4 linked regions of the Drosophila melanogaster genome follow. The protein of the gene in region 4 interacts with the protein of the main gene of each other region in a pairwise test. Each region holds a gene or a part of one and is shown on either strand. Other genes may lie near its edges. The genes, in order: bip1, CG14302, CG9967 and CG15710.

Region 1 (7,832 bases), on a different chromosome or scaffold from region 4:
AACAAATCGAAATATATAAAAAAAGTGACACTTGCCAATCTGCACAGTGTGATGTATGACGTTGACCCGATTTCGCCTGCTTTTTATTATCATTTCCATCGCCTGCATGTTGATTTCGTGTCTTGTCTGTCCGTACACACCTTTCCATGCCGCGACGAACGGCAATTTGTCTTTGCCTCAGGGGTGCCGATTATAATAATTCATCGGGAGTGCATTCGAGTGTGGGCAGCAAGTTCAAAGTGTTAAGTGTGATTTTCAAACATTCGTAATACACGGCGTATACTTAATGTTGCCGCAGTACAATGCCAGCGAATCGGATTGGCCTTCTGACACCCGAACAACAAATGTCAGGATGGCCGAGTGGTCTAAGGCGCTGCGTTCAGGTCGCAGTCTACTCTGTAGGCGTGGGTTCGAATCCCACTTCTGACAAGAACTTTTTGCCATTTTTTCGTTTTATTTTTTGAGCTACAAAAATAAAAATTTCTAAAATCCAAAGTATTTTACAATTATTAAATCAAGAATATACTCTCTCTTGACCAAACTGGAAATTGGCACTCGTTAGTTTAACAGTCAGGATGGCCGAGTGGTCTAAGGCGCTGCGTTCAGGTCGCAGTCTACTCTGTAGGCGTGGGTTCGAATCCCACTTCTGACAATACTCTTTTATTCTATTTTCCACAATTTTTTTCTAATACCAATTAAACTATTTTTACTTGTGCTAAACACACACTTCTTTTCAGTTTTGAGAATGAACCGTTTCAGTATGTGGTCCCCAACCAAAAGAAAATTTGATCTTACGGCTCTTGAGAGTCAGGATGGCCGAGTGGTCTAAGGCGCTGCGTTCAGGTCGCAGTCTACTCTGTAGGCGTGGGTTCGAATCCCACTTCTGACAAAGATTTTTTGTCCAATTTCATTCAGCAAAACGATTAATTTTTCCAACTAAAACTTTTTTTGCCCCTCACAATGATCACCATTTGTTTGGAGCATACATTAGATTGCTTTAACGAGCCAGCTTCCCTCTCAGGGGCGCCAGAAAAATTACAAGTAAATCAATTTGTAACCGCCTAATTGTCAATATTCCAATCACATAATCGGCTGCCAGTTAACGATTGCCCCCGGCTGTCGGGCAGACCGACAGATACAGCGAGACCACACAGGCGATGATCAAGCCTGGCCCCCTTGGGAATTATCGCCGTCTGGCATCGCCTGCAAACACTTCTACTTCTACATTCATCGCCAGCTCGAGTCATTCGGCTCAATCAGACAGAAATTAAAATGCTGACTGAGCGCGTTTTCGAATGCGGCCCACTCAGTAGTTTGTGTTTTCACAATTGTTCTTGGGAAAAAACAGTGCAGGTCCATCCGTAATTATGCTGCTGTTTGTCGGTCGTAAAACGCAATCAACTGGCCACGACAATTGACAATTTGGCTAGTGTAAAACTAGCCATTAAAGTTTTATTTGCTTTAGCACTTGAGAAATTGAGGCTGGCCTGGCCATAACAGGCGAATGGGTCAATTGGCATGTGACAGCAAGAAGCTGCAAGCTGCAGGCTGCAATTTCCACAGACAATGCAAATTGACGTCTTGGAAATATGAGTGATGTGACAAGTGGATGCTTATCTGCGGCTCGACGCCCCTGTTTTTTTTCGAGGGGCTTGCCTCCTTCGTCTGATGAGCGCCCATTGAAATTTATGACTTCGTCGAACCGCCAATTGATTGGCTTTTAAATATCCAAATGAAGGCTGCCAATCGCGAATTGTGCGGCCGTAATTAATGTACAAAAATCATTTGAACGCACGCCCCAAAGCAACACCTGCAGCTGTTGGTATCTTTATTTATGGAAAGCTTTTAACACTTTTAATTAATTATGGGATGGAAAAGTTGGCGGCTTAGCTATGTTGCAAATTTATGACACTACAAATTGATAATTGATAAGCAAAAATGCTATCTAAATGCTAATTTCTCGAAAAGCATATAAAACTAGAGTTAAGTGGTATTTAAGTATTGCAATGTACAATTAATATATTATATACAATCAACTACAAGGTGCGTAATTGAAAGGTGCGCAGACATCATATTATTAAGTAGTAGTTGAAGTATTATTTTCTTCGATTTGATACATATTCATTGCGCAGTACTTTATTCTTTAAAACACTATTATTTTAAATATGACTCATTAAAATAATAAATCATAAAAGAAATACCTATTTTTTAATGTCCTTCAATGGTAGTTTTTACTGTGCGCGATTGAAATCTCAGCCTGATTCCGAATTTGTCAGAGCTTTCCGGCGAAGATCTCGCACGCATGGGCACAAAGCTCGACAAAGCTGGAGAGACGCTCTCCAAACCGAGCTTCGCGCGGTGCCTTCGCGTGACGCAGGCGGAGCTTTCGACAGTCTGCTCCCACGAGTGACGTAGCGCAGTATAGAATGCAGAACGTAACAGAATCGTAATCGGAGCCGCATAGCATACCGCTAATTAGAAGATAGATGCCCTTTTCATTTAATCGTATCTAGCTGCGATCGCTTAAACCGGCGCCAATTGTATTCAAAGTTCCGTAACCGAAAGCTTTCACCTAGAGTTCTTGCCGTGGGGTTATTAAACTCAGAACTGCCGGTCAGAGAAAAGGAGACTTTGTGTGACAGGTGAGTTCATTATGTACATATGTATCTGTTTTCCTAAGATAAGCATAGGTAAATAATGGCGATGTGGGGTACATATGTTTATATTTAATTTCAAAGTATTTTGTAAAAGGTAAGACCACGCGGCTTTGAAAGGCAAGCACAAGTTATCCAAAAAAGCTTTTCCGTGGATGTGCATCTTATTGGTGCTTTTCTACGTGCAGCAAAGCAAGCTTTTATTCGCCAGAGCGAAAGTTCTTGGGGTCACTCTAGGTTTTCTTTTATTCCAAGAAAGAAAATAAGAAAATAAATAAGATATATGTATGTACTTATTTTAATGGTTTTCTAAACTAGAGCTTATTAATAAAATGATAAAAGAAGCAATAACCTTAAATTAAAATGAGTGATTTTATCCAATTTTAAAATAATATTTGATAGATGACGAATACGATAACCACTCTTCGGATTTGCCAGGCTGTGTCGCTAAATCCTAGCGCGAATGGGCCGGAACCAGTATTGCCACCTTCCTCCAGGATTTGTCTGATGGGTTGCCAGGATGTAAAGCCCAATGATCTGCGTCGTTTTCCAGTCCACGATACCGATCGGTGAGTATTATACACATACATACATACATATGTAGGTTCCTCCTGCCAAGAACCACATTAAACCTGTTTTTAGAGCCTACGGAGAGCTTTCCGATCGATTCGATCACCGAAGCTTGTTTTTGTTGCGAATCACAAGTGCTCATTCTATATTTTAAACACCATACCATTAAAGCCATAACAATCCAAAGCTTTGGACCCCGCTCGGTGCTCCTCTTCTTCGTCTGATACCGATACCGATACTCGCAGTCAAAGGTCATTGAACTTTCGCCCTCCCTCTCTTTCTCTGTCTCTGTCTCTCTGTTTTTTTCTCGGTTCGCATAAAAGTGCATCATTTTCATAGGAATATTTCAATGCCATGGCGGCTAAGAACTTGTGCAGTGCAGCAATCAGAAATGCAATAATGCCGATGTGGGCGGGGCAGTGGGTGGGCGGGGGATAGGTCCCAGATTCCGACTCCCATTTATTTATAGCTCTCACGCTCTCCTGTAAATGCAACAAATGCGCGTGGGGCTCTGCTCTGCTGGCCGTGAAGTGAAGTTATTTTGTGTTTCTTTGCTGCTTCTTCATCTCCAGTTTCTGCAGTTGGTGCGCAAAAAAAAAAAATAGAGTTCCGTCTGCCAAAGTTACTTGGCATTGGCCATGGAGTTTAGAGTGGACCACTGTTAAGCGAATTCTTCCTCTTTCCGAGGAAACCCCAGAATGTTAAGCTTTATTTATTATCAAGGAAAGCTCATATTTTACCTTTCGTCGGTATTATCACTAAATGTACTTTGAGACCAAAAAAGTGAAAGTCACTTTTATAAGCAAAATCGAAATAAGAATGACGTTTGCTAAGTTTAATTATAATAGTTGGTTATCTAACTGTAGTCATTGAGTTCCGTTTAAAAATTTTCAAGATATAGTATGAAATTTTAAAGTGAATTATGACAATAATTTTAATTTCACACAGTTGTACGTTGGTTTTGTAAGTTAAGCATAAACCATTCTTATGAAAATGGTTTCAAGCGATTAAAATTTATTTAAAACTTGGCTAGTAAGTCAGATTAAATATGGTATGAGTAGGCAAATGATTTTGCTGTCCCTGACCTGCACAATAATTTCGCATTCGGTCCACCCTAAAGGCCTTAATTGTTGTTGTTGTTTCGCCTAGCCATAAGCATAAGGCAAAAAGAAAATAAGCCTCATTCCCCCATCTTCCACAAATCGGCAGAAACAACAAAAATAGGGGGAAGTTGAGCAGAAGCTGCAGCAAAAGCAACAGCAACAACAAACAATAACAATTCCCCGCGAAACTTCCGCTGAGCGAGAAGGAGCGTACGAAAGCGTTGCTTCTCGTTCGCACTCGCAAAAGAAGCATAAAAAGAGCTTAATTGCAGCGAAAACTTTTTCAAGAACTTTTCCAAGAGAGAGCGATAAAGAGAGCGGAGAGCGAAAGTCGGATCTAATTTGAAAGCGTCGCAAGAACCAGAACGAAACTCCAATGCAGTTTCATTTTGTCAGTTTAATCATTAAACAAAGAACTGCGCAACCGATCGCAACTAGCTCGTGGACTCTTGTTCTCCCAATAATTGGTATGTTTTCCATTTTGCGTTAACATGGAAAATGTGTGAAAAGCTTTTTCCCCCTCCAAAAGAAGCGTACTGAACTAAGCTTTCGGTGGTTAGTAATAGTAGTCGTTATATCTTATTTTTCTTATTTACGTGCAGCTGCAATCATTGGCTGCGTCACTTTGGCGTCAGCTATAAACTGGTGGATCAACTCGGCGGCCTCCAAAAGCTGCGCATCTGCTCCAGACACTTTAGCCAACGCCAGGAGATGGCCAAAACCCGCATCAAGATGACGCCGCTGCGCAAGTCCTCGTCCTCCAAGGGCATTGTGCTACCCATTAATGCCGCTGGAGGGTCGGTCATTGCAGGCGCCTTAGCAGGAGGAGGAGGTGCAGGAACTGGGAGCGGTGCTGTCAAGTCGGCGGTGGCCAGCAGCACCACCATTGAACTTGTTGAGGTGAGTGGCAGCACAAAAGAAAACAAAAGTTCAGCTTTCATAGGGGTTGGTAATTGACCCAAGCTAAATTTCAGTTCAGACAGAAATTATGTTTTAGACTCCGTAACGCAATTTTCGTTGTTTATTAACCAATTGAAATAAATCGTATAGGTATTTGAGCATTAAATGGTATTCCAAAAACGGGCATGCTATTAGAGTTAGTTTAACAACAATACAAGCATGTCTTAAAAAAATACGTACAAAGCTATTTATTCCGTAAAAGTTTAATTTTTTATAACGAATAGCGACAGATCCTGAACTTTTAAAATTTCAGAGAACCCTTCAACGTTCTTTCTCTTTAAATTTCATATTTTAAAGATATGGTTAAAACTGCTTGTATGCATATATAAATATATACCACTATAAATGTATTTTAATGAACCGCATTTTTTTGCAGAGCCCCAATAGACATCAGGCCAAGAAGCCCAACACCGGCATTATGCCCATGCCACAGCGTTCCCACTCCATTAGCTCCTCGGCCTCCAGCGATGTGCTGTCCATAAACTCCGACTACGAAGCCTCGTTACCACTATCAGCCTTAGAGGATTCCCAGAATGGACTGAACCGCTTGGAGAACGGTCAAGCCAAGAAGAGGAAACTGTACGTGATCACCGAAAAATCGGATGAGACGAAAGGTCAGACTCTGGAGACAAATGGACAGCCCAAGAAGCGTAAGATGTTCGTGGTTGTGGAGCAGGATAAAGATGTGGCGGGCAAGAAACTAATGATTATGGCCGACAAGCCGCAGACCAATCTTACCCAGCATTTGGAGAAACTACTGCCCGAGCTATTGAATCGCATACAGGACAAAGAACAGAAGCAGATCAAACCAGCTCCAGTGGTGACTAAAGCCAAGCCGGTGGTTAACAATCCCAGACCACATATAACATTGCCGCCCAAAAAGAATCCAACTAATTTTGCAAAGATCACGTCCACACCAAGCTCAGTGCCTTCATCCATTCAGATGCCACTGCCAATTCAGAATACCAAGATCCTAAAGTCCGAGAATTCGGAACTGACAATGAATTCGGATGAGATCGAGACGAACATAAATCTATCGCCCGACTTCCGCTTCCTAATGAAAATCCTACCCAAATTGGAACAGCTGCCCGAGCCCCACAAGCAGAACGTGAAGCGTTCCATCCAGATCTTCGTGGAGAAGAGCTACAGTATTTACGGCAACAAGGATTAGTTATCAGTATTTTCGGGCACAGCGTTTATTTTCCATTTCATGTGAAGCAGTTCCCTTTATTTTCGTACATACACATACATACATCAAAGGCATTTCATAACTTTGTGTAAGACTGAAGCAGAACCAATTTAATTTCTAAGCCAATTGTAAGAGCTGAAGCAGCTCCCCATTTAGACATGTAAGCTTATCAGAAATTTGATATTACCCACCTGGAGATGGGTAGATTTTGTAAAAGTTGAGCCATAAAAACGAATTAAGATTGAATTTCTTTCTATATTGAATATATGAAAGCTTGATTTAAGCCAGAAAGATAAACCGTCTAAGAGTCTTATTTTTGGGATAAGAAGGTATATAACGAGGGGATATTACCACGACCCACAATTAATAACACTAGTGTTTTTTTCTTATCTTTTTGGTTTTTTTTTTTTGCATTGTAATTCCAAAGAACTTTATTTAGTTTGAAAGCATTTGTTTACGGTTTCTCTTCTTCCATATTTCTTTCTTTTTTTTTTTTAGTTACGTTATAATAATATTTAGTAAGTCTAATGCGGTTTTATTTAGTGTGGTTTAGTTTAGTTAATACAATGGTTAGTGTGTCTTTACGATTTCCATGTAAATTATGCAGCTTCACTTCGTCCTGGAGAAAGGATTGCATTTGGTAATTTACAATTCTTGCCGGCCCATTTACCACTACACGTGTATGTTTTGGGTCTCAGTTTCGTTTTAAGTTAGTATATCCGATTAATGTGGTTAATACATTACATATATACAGTTAAACACTTCATGTTTAATTTAGCTTGCGGGTCAAGGAAACCAAATTATGTGTAAAGTATTAGGGAACTTTGTTGCGTGCCTTTACTGGATGAGGATTTCTACATGATTGGAGTGACTCCATTTCGAGTGCTACATTATAATCGAGTAATATATACTTTTTACAACATTTAGCAAATTTTCCCGTACACATACAATAACTCGTATATCATATTTTTGCGTTAAGCATTTGCCATCGATTTTTTTTTAGAGGGTATAGGGTGTGTTTTATATGGTTTTAAATCGTGTTTGTTAACTACGTTTTGGAGTGTCCTACATTATAGCGTTTGCCTTTTTGTCGGTTAGCGTATCGAGTGTTTTTACATGCTACTTATAAGAAAAAATATTTGCCTTAATGTTGTCCTACGAAACAGTTATGTCATCATCATCATCAATGAGAAGCAATCACAAAGTTTTCTCTAAATTTATATACGACGATTATTACTATTATTTATCATTTTCTTTAGTATTTACATAATTTTTTGGAGTGCACAAAGCAGCCAGCTTCTGTCTGGTTAGTGTAAGCAACTAGAACTACATTCACTGTGGAGTCGAAGATGCTCA
Region 2 (3,758 bases), on a different chromosome or scaffold from region 4:
GGAAGGAATAAAGCACAAAAACCTGGTGCGTTACTATGGCATCGAGGTGCACCGCGAAGAGCTGCTTATTTTCATGGAGCTGTGCTCTGAGGGCACCCTCGAGTCACTGGTGGAGCTGACTGGTAATCTGCCGGAGGCGCTTACGCGACGTTTCACCGCCCAGCTGTTGTCGGGCGTGTCTGAGCTGCACAAGCATGGCATTGTGCATCGCGACATCAAGACTGCTAACATATTCCTCGTGGACGGCAGCAACAGCCTAAAACTGGGCGATTTCGGATCAGCAGTGAAGATCCAAGCGCACACCACTGTGCCCGGTGAGCTGCAGGGCTATGTAGGCACGCAGGCCTATATGGCGCCGGAGGTTTTCACAAAGACCAACAGCGATGGCCATGGCAGGGCGGCCGATATCTGGTCGGTGGGCTGTGTGGTTGTCGAGATGGCCTCGGGCAAGGTGAGTGCTTCGCATTGTAGATAAGCAATTCGATGTATGGGGCGGGGTATACAGTCCATTTCACAATGTTGGATTATTAGTGCTTTTCTTTGGGTGAAATTTTGAAATGTTTAACATTTAATATATATTTATGGTTTCTTTACAGCGTCCTTGGGCCCAGTTTGATTCCAACTTCCAGATCATGTTCAAAGTGGGCATGGGCGAGAAGCCGCAGGCACCGGAGAGCCTATCCCAGGAGGGTCACGACTTCATCGATCATTGTCTGCAGCACGATCCCAAGAGGCGTTTAACGGCAGTGGAACTGTTGGAGCACAATTTCTGCAAGGTGCGTATGCCTGTGGTTAGCTCGCTGCCAAATGTTGCTAATTGATTTTCGTTTCCATGTGCAGTACGGTCGAGACGAGTGCAGCAGTGAGCAGTTGCAGATGCAGGTGCGAGGCTCTTTCCGGCGAAATGTGGCGACCAGCAGCAGCTAGGTGCAACGTGGTGTCTACTTAACTAGCTTGCGGTTTTTTTTAGGCGCACCCCTACATATGATGCATATGTACATCGGTGTGGATTTTGTTTAGTGTCTAATTTATGTGAATGTCGATTATTTGAATGCCCTCGTCTGGTTTTATGTTGGACAATATATAACCCGTATAAAATAATCAAATGCCTTTCCGTACCGTAACCCCCACAATTCATTCGATGCAAGTGAAAATTACACGTATTTTAATATATTTGCGATTCAGTTTTTAATTCATCAATCGATGATGACTATCCGTAAATGGGATAGATGGTCGACGTTTCTGGCGTGGCATTTGTGGTCTCAGCCTGCGGCGGACCAGAGAATCCCGTGCTAGTCGTACCATCGACGGGAGCACCAGTTGGCGGAGTTGGCTCCGGGGTGGCAAGACTGGAGAAAGCCGACACCCACGAGGTGCACAGCATGAAGGCCAGACAGAGGCTAAACAGCAGGTTGAAGACTGCAACGAATTGAGCCGGTTACTCGAATGGTCCACGGATTGCGTTGGCGGTTACTCCTTGTACGGTACTTACATTTCATGTTGACGGCGTTTTAGAGACTGTTGAAGTGCCCAGAACGGCCAGGGCCTTTTATGGAGAACCACTTGGCCATGGGTATCCATTGGTATTTTATTTAATTAATTTATTAAAACACTATTTATCTGGCATTGGCTTATCATTATTTATTTATTTATTTGTTATCGTATTTACCACTTGGATATTAAGAAGTGCGCAGCTCGGATTTTCATGACTGTTTCAAGCGGAAGACGACTTATCTATTCTTAGAAGTCACTGAAAAATACGTGGCCAATTTGACCGTGCGCCTTATCCAAATCCATATACGTATGGAGTATTTTCATTCACCAGCAGATCAATTGTAGGTCAGGAATGATGGTGGTCTTGGTTTGTAATGCATTTATTTCAATTTATTCGGTTCGTGATTATTTATGCATACATTAATTGCGGCTCTTGGCCATATGGAAACGAGTCAAACTTAACGACAGTACAGAACAGTATGGTAACGTAATGATTGATACACAGATCGAATAATACAGGTAAGATAGATAGTTAGTTGGATAGTACGTAGTGATAGTTCGGTTAACAGTTTAGAAGATAATCATACATATAGTACATATATAGCAACAATGAACACAGCAACTAGTTTGATATAAGTATCTGGTTGTCCTTTAACGTTTCTCATATATTTTCCATTGTAAATAACATACGTATAGTATTTATGTATATAATATATTCTTTGCAGATTATTGACAGCTTTGGTGGATCGCCATCGAAACATCTTTTTTTTTTGCTAACGGCTCGAACAGACAAACAAACACACATAGGTTATATATGTATCTATATCATTCTAAATCGTCCTGCGCCGTGGGGCATCATTTGCCTTCCTGGGATGTATATAAATTTATTGATATGTATTGTTACGTCTCAAGTCTATACGCGTATTCTATATATTCCTCTACATTCATTTCATTATTCATTTACGGGTTGTACATACATATATTATTATATATATATATATATATATATATTCATCCAAAAAGCCTTTAGTTACGGTATACCATTTGCTCTCTAAAACACGAATATATATGGAAATATATTAACAGACATTATATAATTCTTTTTTTGTAATAAGTCCTCAAACAAACAACGAAATTGCAGTAACAAGCGCAGATAGTACTTTTAGTATATGCTTTAGCTAGTATCTTTTGTAACAACTATAGAACGTATTGTATTTGAAACACAACTTTCGTAACGAAAAGTATTGCATACTTGTGGGCTTGCTTGCCATAATTCGCTGACAGTAGGGGTATAAACAAGTTCGTAAGCTCTGCTAAGTTAGTTAGTGATTGGTATAACACTCATATTTAATATAGCACAATTAACACACTTAGATAACAGCACTAACAATTTGCGCATAAAACGGCTCTAAAACATTTAATTGACTAGAGTTGCTCTAATTCAAACTACGAGGATACTTTGGTAACGGATATGTAAAGCGAATGGGTTGCGTATAGTTTTCTTATTTCTTTTTTTTTGTGTTTTTTTTTTTGTCTCAACTTGATAGTGATTGACATCAGTTTTCGATTCCGATTTCGTTATCGTTATCCATCTTATTCCTCAGATGCCCACCCCTCGTTGGGTGGCTCGCTTGGTGGTGCTTGGTCACAAATGAAACGCCCGTGTGTGGTCGCTAGTTACACTTACTTACTTTCGTTCGCTAACCTGCTTAGGTACATTAACTGATATGTTTTTTTTTTTTCTGGTGGACCCCAATCCTAGCGACATTCTAGTCTAGTTCGTCTAGTTTTGCAGTAGATCACGCATTATGTCCAGCGAGTCCTGCAGCGATTTGGCGTAGCGCGAGGCACTCGTATCCTCACAGGAGTAGAAGGCCGAGACGCAGAAGACGATCTGTTCCGGATGCGGATTGTAGGAGCAGCCATAACCACGTGGCGTTACCGGTCCGTATCCCATGAAGCTGTCCGTAGAGCAGGCCACCTGAATGGTATATCAATAAGATCATTATGACGATTCCAATAACATGTATGCCAAGTCCTGAAGATATCTTCATTCTAGCCGATACCTACTTTTGTGCAGCTGATTTGTGCTCAGTGGTGCTGTGGTGCAAGAATTGATTAGGTGGTGCAGAGGTGATAGAGTGCAGAGTGGTGCTTATTAGCGAAGACCTGTGGGCCAATTACTACCTGACTGGTGGAGAGCAGGAAGCACTGCGAGATGATGTAGGACTCGTCTTTGAACAGCTCGTGCATCTCGCCGGTGA
Region 3 (5,948 bases), on a different chromosome or scaffold from region 4:
GGCGGGGATAAACTGGGCGCTAAGCGCTCCCAAATGGTCAGCTACCGGAACTTCACCAAGAAACTAATGCCCCCGAAGCCCATTACCACGCCCAGCAGCCACTTTGTGATGAAACTGCTGAATGAGGTGGAGAAGCAGCGCAGCTTCTCGCCAGTTCCCCTGATGGGATCGAAGTCCTTCGAGGAGCACCATCGAGTGCAGTTCTTCTTCATCGAGTTCCAACTGCGCCCGCTCTCGGAAAGAGGCCTCCTTCTGTACTTCGGTACCCTGAACAACAATCAGGACAAGAAGATAGGATTCGTGTCGCTATCGCTGCAGGGCGGAGTGGTGGAGTTCCGGATTTCCGGGCCCAGCAATCATGTCACGGTGGTGCGGAGCGTTCGCATGTTGGCCATCGGCGAGTGGCACAAGATCAAGATGGCGCAGCGCGGAAGATGGCTGACCCTGTGGGTGGAGGGTAGCGCCTCGTCGGCTTTGGCTCCTTCGGCTGAGGTGCTCGTCGAGCCCGACTCACTGCTCTACATTGGCGGGCTGAAGGATGTGTCCAAGCTGCCGCACAACGCCATCTCCGGTTTCCCGATTCCGTTCAGGGGATGTGTCCGGGGTCTGGTGGTCAGTGGAACTCGCATTGTGCTCAACGAAACCAACATTGTGGGTGCGTACTGTTGATGATGAGCAACAGCCTTTAAGGACACCATTCTTGATTAACTAAATGATTCGTCTAACCCCATTAGAATCGCGCAACATTCGAGACTGTGATGGCACCGCTTGTGGCGGAGACTCCTGCGAGTCCGGAGGACATTGCTGGCTGGACGAGAAGCTGCAGCCGCATTGCATCTGTCCGGAGTACGCGAAAGGAGATCGATGCGAGTACTCGGAGACCTGCAAGCTCATTCCGTGCAAAAACAATGGAAGATGCCTGAGAAGTGGACGCTGCTCGTGTCCAAATGGATGGGGTGGCTTCTACTGCGAGATTGGTGAGTGGCCAAAAGTTCAATAACCACAAGCACGGCTCATAATTCAGTTGGTTTTCGAAAAAAACCAAAAACATAATAGCAATACATCTTGTTAATGCGGAGAAAAACAAGTTATATAAATCTTCGCACGGCTTCAAGTTCAATTCGCAAAAAATGTGTCACGAGTAAAAGTTGGTTTTCGCAATTCCTACAGAAGCTTAAATGTTTTTATTGTATTATTATTTTCTGCGTTTTGATCTCAATTTGCGAGCGGTGTTCTGCGGAGTTTTGGGCCAAACAAGTTTCGCAGCCGCCGAGTAGAACAACATTATTATTATAATTAGAGATTGACGGCAGCAGAAAATAACCATTAACAGCAGCATTTGGATTCTGGATGGTTCAGTGCACAGCGGGGTCAGGAAGTTGGTTGGCCAAAAAAAGTAACACAAAAATTAGCGCTCTGTGATTCACAACGATGGCAATAAAGAGCACTATAATCAGAATGGGGATAGAGTTGGGGCATAATTAAGACTGGCCATGATTCAAAGTTGAATGCTCTCGTTTTTTTTCAATTTAATATGCATAATATGCAAAAATAAAGTTCAAAGTTCTAACCTATTAGCTCAAACAGAAAATACTCCTTGTAACTTTCAGCGCCAATTTCAATTATCCAATCAGTAATTTCAAACTTTTATTATCCCCTCACACTGCAACATTATTCAAAATTATAATGACACCAAGCGAAACATTAATCAACCATCTGCGAAACAAGCTTTTGATTATACGAAATCGGCAGATGCGTTTTTGCTATTTCTTTATCCATCGAATGTTTTATGTGGAGATTCATCCAGCTGTCTGCCTTTCACTTATTAGCAAATTGTGAATTAACATGCCACACAAGCAAGTTGAAGTTGAAATTGAAGAAATGCAAGTCGGTGAAGGGAAAATGGAGAGAAAATAGGAATACGAGGAAAAGCCTGAGCTATATCCATGAAAATCAAGAACTCAGGGAAAGCGAACAGGTGATAGACAAAATGATAAAAGGGGGTGAAGAAACTGTAGGGAAAAGTGTATAGAAAATTAATAACCGCGCGATAATAAAGATTAATGTGTGCTTCGAGTTCTAGAACCTGATGAAGAACGTGATGATTCATAGGCAGAAAAAACTGGAAAGTGAGTGAAGTTGAAGAAAACGCTGACAAATGGGAGAAGTGAGCACTGTGCAACTAGAAAAAGGCAACAAAAGATCAAATTGAACATTTGATAAATATCATTCTGTTGTTTTCTTAGTAATTAAATATACAACTCGTTGTGAGTTCTTTGGATTGGGCCAAAAGCGCTTTTCTTGTCAAAGAACAGGTACTTGGTAGTGCATTAGAAAACGGTTTGAGTTTGATAAACGAGATCAGGGTCTGCAGATGAAGATTCAGATTAAGATTCAGATACATAAAGTGAAACAAAAGACGGCGACGAAGAGGAACAATGCAGCTGCAGCGGCAAGCTGATGCTGTAATTTAATTATGTGCCGCATGCAATATGTTTAATGCAACGCCATTCGACTTCAACTTCCCCATTTCCCTCCCCGCGGCAGTATTATGTATGTCTTATGACTCTTTCGGATTTTTCTAGCCATGAGCAAGCCGACGACGCCGAGCTTCCGTGGCAACAGTTACCTGATCTTGCCGCCGCCGCGAATTCCGATGAAAGACAAGCGGCGGGGACCCTCCCTGTACGTCCGCCCCCGCGAAGCCATCCAAGTCTCGCTGAACTTCTCCACCATCGAACCGGACGGACTGCTCCTGTGGAGCGAGCACGAGAGGAGCAAGTTCCTCGGCCTGGGCCTGGAGGCGGGCCACCTCAAGCTGGCCAGCAACCTCCTGGGCAGCACCAACGACACGGTCCGTGCTCCGGCCAGCGGATTCATAGCCGACGGAGCCTGGCACTGGACCAGCGTCCTGCTGGACCGGTCCAGGCTGGAGCTGCAGCTGGACGGCGAGGTGATCTTCACGGAGCGATTGCCCGAGGGCGGACGGTCACTGGGCTCGACCACGCCGAGAAGCACTCTGGCGGGCAGGCGCAAGAATTCGAGCAAGGAGCCAACAATTAGCTACGAGGATGTCTTCTACTTGGGTGAGTCTATTTATTTATGACCTTTATAATATTATCAAACAGGTGTAGCTTGCAAAATCTTGCCCATTATGTGATATTATGTGATCCTAAGCCCATTACAGCGTTGTATTAATTATGACATAAACTTATAATGATGATCGACTTACCGGTTTTATAGTTTTATAGTTTACCACCGATCCGAAGACTTTTATTAGCGTATCTTGTTCACATGCACTTTAAACAAACAATTGCACAATTAAGAGACATTCAGTTCACTTTAGCTGGTTCGGTTGATTCGGTTCTTGAGAAGGGAAAACCCGGAGCACAACGATCCAGGTCTCTTTGATACCATTTGGCCAAAGCTGGTTAGCTACAACTAACTTTTCGAACTTCGATTTCAATCGCAAGTTGTTTTTGATTCGCGATCCGAATAAACACTGATTTTAACTGGGCTGCCAACTCGTTTGCTTTGGGCGGCTGTTGGTTCGATAGGTATTTAAGCCATATCAGCTGTTCATAAATTAATAGATACACTGACTATTATTACTTAATTAAATACCCTAATATATAAATTCCTTACCTTTCATTTAAATTCAAAATGAAATTTAGCATTAAAAGCTTGAGCGAATTGTTCATCTTTTATTAAACATGAATCTATGCTGTTAAGCGGCAGCTAACAGACTGCTGTTAACTGCCACTTTTACACCTTGTCCAGCACTAGCACAAATTCAAATTCAAGTTCAAATTGACAAATGCTCTATTCTTTGCATCCCAAACAGGCGGCTTTCCCAACTCGGACTCGGTGAGCAGGCGCACAAAGGGTCGCTTCTTCGATCCCTTCAAGGGCTGCCTGCAGGATATCCAGTTCGGAGCCGAGCCCACAGCGATTATCAGCGACTTCTCGACGTACCAGGGCGAGAACATTGGATCCTGTGATCTGCACGGCGATGAGCCGCTTACTGTATAGGAAACGAAATCAAAGGAAAGGACAAAGTCGGAGTAACAAGTCTATGGAACACTTTGATCGATCTGGACTTTCAGGACTCGCAAACTTCTTGGGAATCTAATTGACGATAGAGAGAACACTACTTGTAAGCTAAGTGATAAGCGAGTTTATATGGAAAGCAGGCGAATGGGGAGCCTCCTTCGCCGGAATCAATATATACACACAGTTTTTGGGCAAAGCTATCGATAGAAGATGACAGACGAATAAGACGAGAAATGAACGTAATTTTGTAAATTTTATAGAAATAAATGAAAAACGAAAAAAAGACAATGTTTAGACTTAAACCGTGGAAACAAATGACAAATTAACTGGTTTATCAAAACAATACCAAGAGCAAAACTAAGACAAAATTTTAGATTAGGAGATAAATCTAGAAAATACCGATACCAGATACAGATATTAACTTCTCTTACGTAAGTGATATTTCATGTGGAATAACGATTATGGACGAAGGATCCAAAAAGCAACTTAACTTATCACTATGTATATTGTTTTTGTTGATCCAGCCTTTTGTTATGCAATCGTTAGCATTTGTGTTATAACTCGAAATCTCTCCTTATATCTTCAACTTTCTAAACTAAGACTACAAAACTGCCCTCGCTTCTGTCATTCTAAGTTTTTCAAATTATTAAACCTAATTTAGCTAGTTGGATATTCGAATCCTTGTTATCCCTGTACGTTAAATAGCATAAACACTCCTGATTGAAGCCATTTAGTTGCCTTGTAGTAAGTTAGCGTATACTCTCTATAATTTATCTTGAACTAACTCAATTCGAAGTCGACTAATCTAACAACAAATCAAGACGCGTGCGAAAATCCATGCGGTCATACAATATAATTATTCTTATAAATGGAAAACCAAGTAGCGGAAAGATACAAACAAAAATATATATACAACAATTATACAATACGAAACCAAATGGAAATTGTAACCAAAACTGTAAGTTAAGTATGTATTTATTTCGAGAGACATCTTAATCAGTTATAATTTCAAATAAAAAAATGGGAATTAGAAAAGTTAATAAACTAAAATCTGCCTTATGTTTTCATGGGAGTCTTGGGAAGTGGTGATGCAACATATTTTCCAATGTCTTTCCGCCGCAAAGGAACTTCTCTGCTAAAAAAAAGTTAAATTACCTTTTTTATAAAGCCATGAGCTAATATTTTGAAAACCCATAATACAAAAGCGATTGTGAGCTCATTGTCGATTCAAATCGAATGACCATATATGTATATACGCAGTCATATATATATATATATAAGTATATACGATGTTTTCATTTATTATAATTTATAAATTTTAAATTTAAATACATACAGACAACATAAAAATTACGAATTGGAAAGAAATATGCATCGGATCTTTGATGTTTGTGGAACGATTTAAACAAGTTGTTTACGGTATTGTGTTGTTCGATTTGTTTTATTTATTTATTTTAATTCACTTTACTTCCTCTCCGCTTAATTGCATACTAGATGTAAGTTTAATTTTTATGGATTACGATAGTATCTCCGTTCTCGTTTACGTTTAAAGATAGTAGCATTAAATCTTCGATTGTTGCTAGAATGTGGAAAATAGTTCAACGCAAGGCGAAATTGAAAAATAAAAAAATCTAAAAGTATGCATAATTGGTTTTCTTTTTTTTTTTGTGGTTTTCGTTTTCCTTCATTTTCATATGTGTATATATAATTTATATAAATTGCAACTATCACACGTGTCCGCCGCGACCCGGAGTCGAATCATCCGCGTCCGTATCCGGATCTGGAGTCCGAGCTCCGGAGCCGTAGAGACACACACATTGCCACAAACCGAGGCGAGCGAGGATCTTCAGCCGCTGGCCTGAACATTTGCTCCTTGTGGTGTTTGTTTGTTTTGT
Region 4 (4,491 bases):
TTTCAACCAGACGCGAGTTTGCGTTGAAAAAGTTACTAAAACTTATCCTACATAGGAGATTTTATTAGAAGAGATACTACCTTTTAAAGTCAAACGCTTAGAATAATTTATAAGGCTGATTATTTATTCCTGGCTTTTTAAAATAATTTAAAGATAAAGATTTCCAGCTTCATTGATATAGAAATGTCAAAAAAGTTCTATAGCACACGACAGTCATACATTTATTTAACCAATTAAAGCGATTCGAAATGGCATGGTGTTTAAGTGCTATTGCCATGTCGCGCACTGTCAATACAATGTCAATATGCATTGTTCGCTAATGTATCGCCAACAAAGTTTTACGCTTTTTGTCGCCAGATTTTCCCTTTGGCTTAATTCCGTTTGAACGACGAACGTTGCGTTGGACAGGATTTTGTCCTGCAAATAAAACGCGCCCTTGACAATGGCCGTCAATATGCCGATATCGGTGGACAGAAAGACGTTAATTACCAACATTACCGCGCGCCCAATTATCAACCGCACAAATCAGCGGTGATGTAGGTACGGGTAACCTGATGCACCGTGTGCGGGGCAATGGAAAACTCATTACATGCCACAGGAGCCATCATCCGTGATTCGAAAGATAGCACATAGGTGGAGCGATGGAGCACAGGGGCAGGTGGCCAGGCGCCACGCCCACAAGGAGCGACCGCAACATGCTGTAATGCGTGGCTCTATCAGCATTTGCATGTGCAGCTGGAGCTGGAGCTAAATGCGCCCGATACTTAAAGCCAACTAAAGGCCATATGTTAGCCTACACTGCCAAAGGACAAACTTAATGTCAACACGCTAATCTGTCAGTCGGCAGGAGTTGCAGCGCAGGATGCGAGATGCAGGGCGCGGAATGGGGGATACTGGCATGGCGGGGAGTTGGGAGTGCGACTGCAAAGGATCTGCCACAATGTCAGGCCACTTAAGGAGCGCTGAATCGCAGCGCCTCGCTGCACAGGAACTCAAGGATATTGGAAGTGGGCGGAAAATGGGCGGGGAACACTCCCAGAAAATGCAGCGATTCTTAGACAAACTTCAATCCTTGGAACTTGATTAGCTATTATTACTTAAGGCAAACGATTAAAAAAGCTTCTGCGTAAAGGATTAGTAGAAAGATATAAAAGAATCCCATATTCTGTTAATCTGAAATCAACAGATTCTGAAATGAAAAATATTCATATTTCAGATAGCTTACTTCAAAATAACTAAAAAGAATAGCCTAAATGGTTTAAAAAGCATATAATACATTCAAGAATAGTGTATGCTTTTTAAATAATTCACAATCTTTTGAGGAAATACCAACAACCCAACTTCGCGCTGCTTAAAATTAATGATAAGTATGTTTAATATTTATAGAAAATTATTTGCTAGTGTATCGCCGCCTGGATGGCGCAACAATAATGCTGGACCCTTTGAAATGACAAAAATTGGTTGCTCTCCGTGCGGCTTGACGCCTGACTTGGCAGGAGACACTCGAGGGCACCACAAATGCCAAGCCGTCACCCACCCAGGCACCCAACTAAACACCCACTGCTCCTACAAGCAACGTCCTCCCCCCGCGAAGGACGCGTCTTATCAACTATGCAGGGCTTTGTCTCTAAGCGATTGCAGGCGCCACCCCCCCTTTCCCTTCCAACCTGCCCCTGCCCCCTTTTGCTCCACGCAGTCAGCGTCTTTTGTTGCGCTTAATGAATTTTACGTAAATTTTACGAGCGCTGATTTCTGGCAGCAGCAGCACCACCCCAGCTATTAATCCACACTTTGGCGAGAGCACCACCCCCAGTGGATGGGTAAATTAGTGGGTGGTTGGGTGGTTAGTGGGTGGATGAGACTGGTGCTCTCCTGGTTGTGCGTGTGTAATGACAAGTTCAACAACAACTCGACATTGTCGACTGGTGACGAGGACGACGTGCTCCGACATTTGTTTGCCCAAGTTATGCAAATATTTTTCCAGTCAAGAAGTTTTTGTTTAATTGCATATTTTGACTCGCATTACGCGTGTCATAAAGCAGGGATCCGGAGCTTACCACAATGCCAGAAGTTGGGCGGGGATTAGAGGCACTCGAAAGACATGTTCCTGCATTTTACAGTTCAAAGACCAAACTAAACAATCAGTTTTACGAGTATAGATCTTATTCTGCCCAGGCTTGCCATTGAACTATAGCTATCTTCCTTAGAAATTAATTTAAATTAAATTTATATTTAAGTCTCTAAGATGATATTTTAAAAATAATTCCTAACACAGACGAAATCATGGAGAAGCCTTTAATATGGTTCATAAAACATAATTTATTTGCTGCGTTCGAAACTGTGAAGCTGACCTACTTCATTTAAAAACGAAATTAAACCGAATATATATAGTATGTATACTTCTGCTTTAGACAGTAAAAATGCATGAAGATTGTTTGCTTAATTGGTTAAACTAAATGATGGCTAAATATATTACCACCTCATTTATGGTAATCCGAATAAAACGTTTAATTTTTTTTTGGAGGAAAGCGTTGGATTCGAATTTCATTGCCTGGACAAATTTAAAAAGTTTACATTTTTGAGGCATACCTATCGCGTATACGCTTTCTTTCTTTTCCAGCCCTGACAGTTTCCGAGTATCGAGTATCGAGTATTACTTTCTATCTTTCAATGACAATGACCGGCGACTTTCTCACTTTCTTCGTACGCTTCTTACTGGCGAAACACAAGAGCCCACAAAGGATTATGACAAGTGCTGGCAACTGGATTTCCGAGGAGCTGGAACCAGCTACTCTACTGTCGATTCAGGAGGATAATGGTATTGTTACCAAGGTGTACGTGGCGCCCTGTTTGCAGCCGATAAAAGAGGAGAAAGTTTTCCTGGAGGACAACACGCAACGCTTCCACTGTCCGCTTTGCTCTAATGTGATTCGCACGGCCGGTGCCTACAAGGTCCATCTGATGGCCTGCCAAAGACGCTTGGCACGCATGATGAAGGATGTGCCGGACGTGTCCCAGCATCAGTGCAACATTTGCAAGAAAATCTTCTCCTCGGTGGATGCCCTGATCGGCCACAGGCTCCTGCATGGAAGCCCATCAATGAATCGCACCTGTGCATCCTGCCATGTCAAGTTCGGGACGGATCTGGAGTATCGCACCCATTTGGAGAGCCATCTGATACCGTGCGAGTCCACGGATGAATCCTACGAAGGGGCGTACACCATCACCAAGACCTTCAATTGCGTCTTTTGTCGCACGGAGTTCAAGGCCTGCTTTAAGCCTGGCCAAGTGACCCGTCGATACGCGTGCGACGCATGTATCGTAAGGCTGAAGGCCCAGGAGGAGGAGAAAAAGATCTTAGGGAAGAGAAGGCCCGAATTAATCTGTGATCGTTGTGGGAAAAAGTACAAATATGAGGGTTTCCTTCACCGTCATCTGAAAACTTGCCAGATGCCGGATAAATGCAAAAGAAAGCGTGAGATTGAAATCACCGAGGTCAGCGAGGTAACATTTACAGAAGTTGTGCAAAGTTTTAATAATTGATTATACAAATTCGCACATTTTAATTTTAAATTAAATAAATATATTTTTTAATTGTAATATTTTTTATAATTTTCAAATTATGGCGCCCATCCCACCGATATCTATTTCGATCTGCTATCGATGTGGTCACACTTATCGATAAATCCACCGTGGCGTGGTATTTTTGATTTAAAGCGTTAGTCGATTTCCCGCCCAGCTGCACGTGTATATTTTTTTGCGGTCCAAAGAAAAGTTCGTAAATAAACGAATTTGCGTGCATTTCCAGCGAACACGATGAGTTCAGACGAGTCCAGCGACGGTTTGGAGGAGCTGCAGAGTCTGAAGGCCCTCTACGGCCAGCAGGAGCAAGAGAAACCGGCAAAGATCAAAAGGGAACGTTATATTCCAAAGGCCTCGCAGGCCAAGGAGCTCAACTATGTGGAGGTGCCCATGGAAAAGGTGCTCTTCGGCGACAGGCAGCGACTGCTCACCAATCTAGCCAAGTCCGTGGGACAAAAGTTGCCGAACGATGACGAAGACGAGCAGGAGGAAAATCCCGGCCAGGCAAAGCCAGGCGACAAGCGGAAAGCCGCCTGGTCGGATTCCGATGACGAGGACCTGCAGGTGGGCGATGTCAAGAAGGCCACAAAGCACACGGGTCCACTGAACCACCTGCGCAAGGATAAATCGTACAAGGAGTATCTTACGGCGCGATTCCAGCGCACGCTTAACCAACCCAAGTGGGCGGAAAAGAAGGTCAAAAATGAGGACGACGAGGACGTATCCTCCGACGAAGAACTGCTGCGGACGGTTGGCTTTATCGATCGTAAAGCCCGGAACAGTGATCTGCCCCAGAAGACTCTGAATTTTAAACGGGTCAAAGACCTGAACAGGGCCACATATGCCGAGGGTAATGCCACCAGCATTCAGTTTCATCCAACCAGTACTGCTGCTCTAGTGGCGGGCATG

Evidence for each region.
Region 1: the proteins of CG15710 (region 4) and bip1 interact in a two-hybrid assay, tested with the Drosophila melanogaster proteins (one large-scale study listed by BioGRID).
Region 2: the proteins of CG15710 (region 4) and CG14302 interact in a two-hybrid assay, tested with the Drosophila melanogaster proteins (one large-scale study listed by BioGRID).
Region 3: the proteins of CG15710 (region 4) and CG9967 interact in a two-hybrid assay, tested with the Drosophila melanogaster proteins (one large-scale study listed by BioGRID).

Annotation. Positions count from the first base shown.
Region 1 is NT_037436.4:8,053,271-8,061,102, reverse strand, and holds bip1 (bip1), read left to right. Parts: upstream 1-2,389; 5' UTR 2,390-2,642; intron 2,643-3,009; exon of another isoform or gene 3,010-3,056; coding exon 3,057-3,223; exon of another isoform or gene 3,224-3,602; intron 3,603-4,727; exon of another isoform or gene 4,728-4,794; intron 4,795-4,894; exon of another isoform or gene 4,895-4,929; coding exon 4,930-5,227; exon of another isoform or gene 5,228-5,302; intron 5,303-5,663; coding exon 5,664-6,458; 3' UTR 6,459-6,770; downstream 6,771-7,832.
Region 2 is NT_033777.3:18,730,447-18,734,204, reverse strand, and holds CG14302 (uncharacterized protein), read right to left. Parts: upstream 1,525-3,758; 5' UTR 1,500-1,524; coding exon 1,493-1,499; intron 1,420-1,492; coding exon 1,211-1,419; 3' UTR 1,171-1,210; downstream 1-1,170. Other genes in the region: Mekk1, read left to right, coding at 1-451, 597-776, 841-927.
Region 3 is NT_033779.5:2,353,846-2,359,793, forward strand, and holds the start of CG9967 (uncharacterized protein), read right to left. Parts: upstream 3,512-5,948; 5' UTR 3,233-3,511; intron 3,087-3,232; coding exon of another isoform or gene 2,586-3,086; intron 978-2,585; coding exon of another isoform or gene 735-977; intron 656-734; coding exon of another isoform or gene 1-655. Other genes in the region: eys (eyes shut), read left to right, coding at 1-655, 735-977, 2,586-3,086, 3,845-4,032.
Region 4 is NT_033778.4:16,346,721-16,351,211, reverse strand, and holds CG15710 (uncharacterized protein), read left to right. Parts: upstream 1-2,684; 5' UTR 2,685-2,745; coding exon 2,746-3,543; 3' UTR 3,544-3,598; downstream 3,599-4,491. Other genes in the region: wcd (wicked), read left to right, coding at 3,817-4,491.